Canis lupus familiaris: one gene and its partner. The protein of the gene in region 2 interacts with the protein of the main gene of each other region in a biochemical or structural test. Links are inferred from orthologs where the notes say so. Each region holds a gene or a part of one and is shown on either strand. Other genes may lie near its edges.

Region 1 (4,269 bases), on a different chromosome or scaffold from region 2:
CTGAGTTTGGTGCTTTGGACAGTGTGATCTGCATTGTTGGCTGCCACCCTCCTCCCTCCTGCAGGATCTGCCTTAGAGTTAGGTGAGTCACCCTAAATCTGGAATGCACCTTGATCCTCCTCTCTGTTGGCCACCACTCTCATTTGCTATCCCTTTCCTCAACAACCCAATGGCTCCCTGCCAGATAGACCCCTGCCAGGAGTGTCTCTTCACTTCAATCCATCCCTCACAGCAGACCCTCCCATCTCTCCTCTCCCGGAGCAGATACCTGATAAGGGGCATCTGAATAAGAGCTTCAGTGTGTCCTGAAAGCTGCTCAGCCTCTGCTCCAAGGTCTTCCTTTGCTCCTCCTCACTTTGCAAGGCCTCCTTTGTCTTCTCCCTCTCAGACTGGCAGGCCTGTAACTGCTCTTGGGTGGCCTGGCAAACCCTCTGTTCCTCCTGTAGTGCTTCCTGACTCTGGGCTAGTTCCCTCCTGGACCCCTGTAGATCCTCTTCCCTCTTCCCCAACTGGGTTATCTTCAGGTGGAGCTGCTGCCTTAGGCTGCTGTTAGTGGTTTCCAGAACCCTGTTGGTCTGCTGGAGCTGCTGAGAAACCTGCAGATCTGTTCGGCCATAATGAGAGATTTGAAGAACATCTTCTTCAGCTATGCCCTGGTACCCTGACTCTTCAGCGTCAGTCCTTTTTCTGCTTCTTTTTTTTTTTTTAAAGATTTATTTATTTATTTATTCATGATAGACACAGAGATTGAGAGAGAGGCAGAGACACAGGAGGAGGGAGAAGCAGGCTCCACGCCGGGAGCCCGAGGCAGGACTCGATCCCAGGACTCCAGGATCGCGCCCTGGGCCAAAGGCAGGCACCAAACCGCTGAGTAACCCAGGGATCCCCGTTTTTCTGCTTCTTGCAAATTTTTGCATAACAGGCTGAAATGTAAGATCTGACTGCCTAAAGCTTAAGGAGGTACTGGGTTAGGTAAGGACAATTTAGGAAGACATGGCACTCTAAAACAGACCTGGCTGGAAACCAGACAAAAAGCTAAGCATGTAGTGGTAGTGACTGGGCCCTGCCCAGAGGAAGGGCAGCTGTTGGGGAGAGTAGGGGAGAATATTGCTCAGGGTACATGGGCAGTGGGGGACAGTCATACTCACAGTGCACTCCCAGGCAGATGGTGGCCACCCCCAACAGCAGGCAGGTGAGGAGCAGGCCAAGAAAGAGGTACTGCATACAGGCTGCACGGCCTTAGGGAGACAGTGGGATGAAGGGCAGAGAGCCCCAGGAAAGTTTGTAGGCTGCGGGGCTGGGTGAGTGGGGATATTCACGGGAAAGAGTATCCCTCAGAGGACTGGTGCTGGTATGGTGGGGTTCGTCGGGTCGTGAGTTTCCGCAGGTAGCGGAAGGAAGGTGTTCCAGAATAAGGGCTGGAATCGTTACTGGTAAGGATTGAGGAGCGATACCTGGTGGGATGGGAACAAATCCCAGACGGGGACAGAGGACAGGGGGTATGTGCACGGGGACACCGTAAAGGGGGAGGAGGGAAGATCTGGGTCAACCTGGGGGAATGATACACACGGGTATGGGGGTGAAGGGGCGGGGAGGGGGCCTCGGGGCTGCCCGCCGCGCCCAGAGCGCTGCTCCCCGAGCTCACTCCCGGGAGCCGACCCGCGCACCGCCGGGCCCGGCACCGGCCCAGGCCAGCCCCCCCGCCGCGCGACCCTCGCCGCCCCCCTGCGCTGCCCCGCCCTGCAGCCGGGGGCGCGCGCCGGCGGGGAGGGCCCGCGACTCACCCGCGAGGAGCCGCCCGGCAGCCGGTGACGTCACGGAGCCCCAGGACGCAGTTGGCTGCTCTGCCTGGAGCCCTGCGGACCCGCGGCGACTTGAGTTCGAAGTCGGGAAGCCCCGGGAAATTCCCCTTCTTCCCACCAGCTCCCCCTCTCCCCTTCCCCGGCGCCCCCCCCCCCCCCCCGCCCCGTCCCCAGTCCGGTCCCGGACGCCTTCGGCGACGTCTGTGATGCTCGGGGACACCCTTAGCACTCTCCGGAGTCCCGCATCTCCCCCAGGACTCCTGTCTCTCCTGGGTCTTACTGCATCCGCTCTCCCGGGACCCCCTCCTTTCCCTCCTGGGTCTCCCCTTAGGTTTCTTTCAGCACTGCCCGCATCCGCGTTTCCCAACCGTCTCCCCAGAAGTGCTCTCATCCCTCTCCCCTACCCTTTCTCTGTCCCGTGACTTCCCGTTTCCCATCCGAATTCATCTCCTCACAGGGGCTGCCCCAATCTCTCCCCGCAGCCCCTGTCACCCCTTTGGGATCTCCACCTTGGCCCTGGGCTCTTTATTCTTCCCTGGCTCCCATTTATCCACGGGTCATTCTTCTCTCTCCTAAGCACCCCCTCCTTTCCCAGGGATATTGTGCCGCCCCCCCACCCCCACCCCAAGGATACCTGGACTCCCAGCTCAAGACACAGACACACGCTCACACAGCCCGCCCGGTCACACACACATTCTCTGGGCTCTCCGTACCTGCTTTGTCTCCTACTCCAGAAGAAGCCAAACTCAAGGGCCCACCTGAGACTGAGGACACTTGTACATTCTCATAGGTAAGCTCCTCATCCTCATCAGTCCCTGGGTCTGAAGAGAGAAATGGTGGAGGTGAGGGTGGGGTCATGAGGGAGCCTGGGGATGCGGAATCAAGGAGATGCCTTGCCCACCCTTACCCTGTCCTAACTGGCTGGAGATGCTTTTCTTCAGGGGAGCCTTCACGAACCGCAGGTCTGCATAGGTGATGGCCTCAGCCATTGCCCTGAGCAACCCGGCTCCCACCCGTCTACCCTTTCTTCCACCAGCCCCAGAGCTTCCCACTCTCCCCTCTGTCCCTTCACACTCGGAGGCTCTGTCTTCCTTCTGTGACTGCACAGCTTAGTGCTTTACCCTCTGACTTCCAGTTGCAAAAGAGGAAGATGTCAGCAAGTGTCAGACACAGATGGGTTCAATGAAGCATATGGCATCCTTGAGCCTCTGCCAGAGGGACAGGGGATGGGAAACTGAAGTCCAGAACATGGGGTTGCAGCATGGAGGTGTCACTGGATCACTATTCAGGCCCATCCCTGTGTCCTGCCTGTGCTCCCCCTTCATGCACCCCAGACCCGCTTTGGCAGCGCTGGGCTCTAAATACTTGTCCTCCTGGTCATCTACCCTGATTTGCCCTATGCTGCTCTGTCCATGGGCTTATCTATGTGTTGTCAGAGCTCTTTGGTGCCTGACTAAACCCAGAGGATCTCCCCAGTCATTGCTGCAGAGTGGAGCTCCAGCCTCCACATCATATTGGAGGGGTCCTAGTGTGGAGCCCTTGCTCCTCATCATCCTGGGGTTCCCAGCAGGTATGGGTTCCCAGAAAGGGGCCCTCGATTTGGTGGAGCTCATTTCCCTATCAGTTTGGAGGCTGGTGGGCGGGGGGAGACCCTCCCACTCCTGCTGTTGTCCTGCAGATGCTAAGGATCTCACACATAGGGAGGCTCTCACTCCAAAGCCCTTCCTGAGAATGTGGCAGGCCTTTGGAGGATGCAGAGGAGCTAGGACCACACAGTTTCTCTTCTACAAACTCCCCTAGATTCCCTCTTCACAGCCTTTCCCTGGCCTTGTCCACCCTTGTTCCCTACCCATCACACCGTTGGCCAGTCAGTCCCTTCCTCATCCCATCCTACCCCATGCTGGACTCAGGGCATCCTGTGTCCCAACATCTGAGCTAGATGCAGTGAGCTGAGTCCAGGAGGCACAGGCTTGGGGATAGGCCCGGGCTGGGGGTAAGGATGAGGGACAGCCCCTAGCTCATGCACCTTTGGAAAAGCCTGCAGCACTGACCCCTTATGCACCCTTGTGGGGACCCGGGGGGCAGGTGAACAAAGGAGTTGGGTGGGGATGAGAGGGCAGCAGCTGCTTAGACAGAATGGAGGCAAGGAAACAACAGGGCTGGGTGCTGAGCACACAGACACTGGATTTGAGGCTTTGATATTTTCTTGGTCTGGATTTGGTTGTTTTCTTTTTTTTACTTTCCTAGTAAAGTTCTTTCCTTATAAAGCCTTAACATTGTGCCCTTACACCCAGCCCCGAGGGCAAAGGGGGTATTTGTGGGAGAAGAGTCAGGGCTAGGAGGCCCTCGTGGCTGGTGAAGGCCTGGCTGACAGAAGGGAGGAGGAGGGAGGACTGTTGAGCAGTGGTTCAGAGGTGCTCCCTAACATTCTCTTACCAAGCTATGACTCCAGAAGGGCTTGCTTCCA
Region 2 (2,857 bases):
AGTACGCGGTCCCGGAACGTCCACACCACCCGGGCCAGGTTCGACTTTTGGGAGCATTTCAGTTCTGCTGTGCCGCCGTGCTTGAAAAAATGCTCCCGGAAACTTTTAGTTTCATCTGGAACACCAAAATAAACGTGCACAGTGTCAACAACCCGGCCCGCTACTTCCCTTCTTTCAAAGATAGGTCAACACGCACAAGAGAACACAAGAGTTTCACCCACTAGAGCAACACAGAATCTTCCAGAACAACTAAGGAGATAAAGACATGCGTGACAGAAGAGCAGAGATGAGCCCCAGATGGCAGCCCCAGGGGATGAGGAACTCGGGAGCAACCGGGTACAGAGATCCCATCTGGTGCCCTGCGAGGCCGTGCGGCGACACGCGGAGTCACACGCCGCGCTCCTGCCAACGGCTCCGGGGCCCGTGGACTCTCAGTGGCCCAGCATCCTCCTGAGGCTGCCCCGCTGTCGAGTCCACATCAGGAGCGTGACAGCCCAGGGCACGGCTGCCTTCCAGGAGACCAAGGGATGTGCCTGACCCCCCGGCCGGCAGGGGCATCGCCGAGGGGACGAGGACGCCTCCCGCTGCCCCTCCCGGGACCCTCAGGGTTGTGTCAGCAGCCCCAAGCTAAGCGGGAGAGAGGAGCGTCTCAAGACTGGATGTCACAGGTTGGACGCCGAGCACCTTCCAGTGAACGCACTACGTGGCTGCAACCAGAGGGGCTGGCGGGGTCGGCCTCTGTATCCTCATGGATACGTGCCCTCTGTTCCAAGTAGAGAAAGGAAAAAAGAATGTACGAGATGCCACAACAGCACAGCACCACGACACGATCACGAGACCCGGCCGCCCCCGAGCAGCACAGCGAGGAGGGGCCACTTACTGGGGCAGACGGACGTGTCACCGCTCATCTGCTGAACCAAAGTCCTGCAAGGCAAGCGGGCACGGTCACTCACGCGCCTTCCCCGCGGGCAGGGCGGGTGGCCGGCACGCGCGCCCCCGGTACCTGCTGGGGCTGTCTGTCCGGTGCAGGTCCACGCAGGCCTCGGCGGCACGGCTCCAGGCGCAGTAGGGGTCGCGGGCCAGCACGCAGTCCTCGCAGCTCCCGTGCTTCCCGCAGAAGGCCACGGGGGCCTGCACCACACCCGAGCTGGAACCCGCGTACACAAATCTCTTGCCCTGCACGGGGGAGACAGAGGGGACAGGCGCATGAGGGGTGGCATTCATGCGCTTGGTGGCAGGTGCTTCTCCACCTCGCCGGCTGTGGCAAGCACGTTCCCGCGATCCCTCATCCAGGAGCTTCCAGAACCGGAGCTCAGCCGGGCTACTCCAAGGCCAATCCCAACAGCAGCACCTCAAGCCCGCAGAGGCCGCGTGCTCTTCAGCAGAGTCCTCGCTAACTCGGCACTCGGGGCCTTGGTCACAGGCCCCCCCAGAACCCCCCAGCCCTCCCGTCTGGGTGCCAGTGTGGACGTGTCTCTGCCCCACTAGGGCTGGGGGTCAGCTCCTCTGTGTGGATGGGGCTCCTCCAGTGGGACACTCCTGGCCCCGCGACAGGACAGAGGCCAAAGGGTACAACTCGGAGCCCAATCCCAGGCCTGCCTGGCTTGAGCAGCTGTGCACGGACAGCCCAGTAGTGTCCGAATCCAGCGGGGCCAGGAAAGGAGGCGCCAGAGAGTGGTGGGGGACATGCAGAACTCCAGCACGAGGATTAAGGGACCAGCCAGGTTTGCGAGGGAGGAGCACGCAGACAGGGAGGCTGACGGCTGGCCCCTCAGAGAGCCAGGCCCCCCAGGTGGCTAATTGCTCCCCTGGACACAGCGGGGACCCCTCCTGGCACAGCCATGCTGCAGGGCTGCAATTCTGCATGTGTGTCCACGGTCTCCTCCGCCGGTGAGCCCGTCTCCCCCGACCCCACACAGATCTTCTGGTTAACCTCAGGGTTAACAGAACCCAGCAGAAGTCAGTGTTTCAGACCCAAACGAGTTGCAGCCTTCCCCGGGGGGAGACAGGGAATTAACAGCAGCGTCCAGCTGGCGCTCCTGGCCTGTGACGCACCCTGTGTGAGTATAGCCAAGAAGTCCCCTCCACAGCAGACTGTCCTCTGGTCAGAAGGGGCAGAGAGAGCCAGGCCTGGGGGCTAGCCCATCCCTGTTGGTGGGGCCCAGGCAGAGGAGGCCACATGGTTGCTGAAAGGACTGAGGATGCCACCCCAGACCCCTCTCGGGGTCACGTGGCTTGCAGAGGAGAGGGTTCCTGGGAAGGCCAAGCAGGCAACCTTGAGGGACCCTGGAGGGCACAGACTGCCCGGAAGCCCCAGCTGACACCAGACCTGAGTGTGTGGCTGTGGGCATGGGGGGATGGGGCGCTCATGTCCCTGCACCCCCGTCCCCAGGGCTGGGCTTCCGTGACCCAGAGCCACGGAGTAACAGATTCTGAGAGAAGGAAACAGGCAAACAGTGGCGGGGGGTGGCTGAGACCATTGGCAGGTGCAGAAGCCCGTGGGCAGGAGGGACTGACACCCAGCAGCCTTGAGGTCTCCCCCACGAGCAAGCATCCGTCACCATAGGGTGGAGTGCAGGTCCACGGCTTCACAGTATGTCTGCCCATGGGCACTGGGGCCTCACCCCTGCCCGGCCTCGCTGGCCAGCACTGTCCTCGCTCACGTCACGTCCCCAAACCCTCAACCCCATCCAATCACGAGGAAACCCGGGGTGTTTGGTCCTCCGCAAAGCTGAGCATGCCGCCGAAATGATGATAGATGGGGATGTCCCAGGCCATGTGAGGCCCCGGAACTGGAGCAGACGTTTGTGGGCCAGTGGGCACTGTGCCAGCGGGGCTCCTCCGTGCGGGGGGTGGC

The links.
Region 1: the proteins of SEMA4D (region 2) and CD72 form a complex in vitro, tested with the Homo sapiens proteins (2 studies listed by BioGRID and IntAct). The link is inferred for Canis lupus familiaris from reciprocal best matches to the Homo sapiens genes SEMA4D and CD72.

The regions. Positions count from the first base shown.
Region 1 is NC_049232.1:52,471,079-52,475,347, forward strand, and holds the start of CD72 (B-cell differentiation antigen CD72), read right to left. Parts: upstream 2,942-4,269; 5' UTR 2,792-2,941; coding exon 2,710-2,791; intron 2,624-2,709; coding exon 2,516-2,623; intron 1,857-2,515; coding exon 1,785-1,856; intron 1,239-1,784; coding exon 1,149-1,238; intron 605-1,148; coding exon 269-604; intron 1-268. UniProt on the Homo sapiens protein: Co-receptor of B cell receptor (BCR) that plays both positive and negative roles on B-cell functions. Recognizes the Sm/ribonucleoprotein (RNP) self-antigen ligand, and coligation of CD72 and BCR inhibits BCR signaling.
Region 2 is NC_049222.1:97,582,479-97,585,335, reverse strand, and holds part of SEMA4D (semaphorin-4D), read right to left. Parts: intron 1,177-2,857; coding exon 1,004-1,176; intron 925-1,003; coding exon 881-924; intron 116-880; coding exon 1-115. UniProt on the Homo sapiens protein: Cell surface receptor for PLXNB1 and PLXNB2 that plays an important role in cell-cell signaling. Regulates GABAergic synapse development. Promotes the development of inhibitory synapses in a PLXNB1-dependent manner.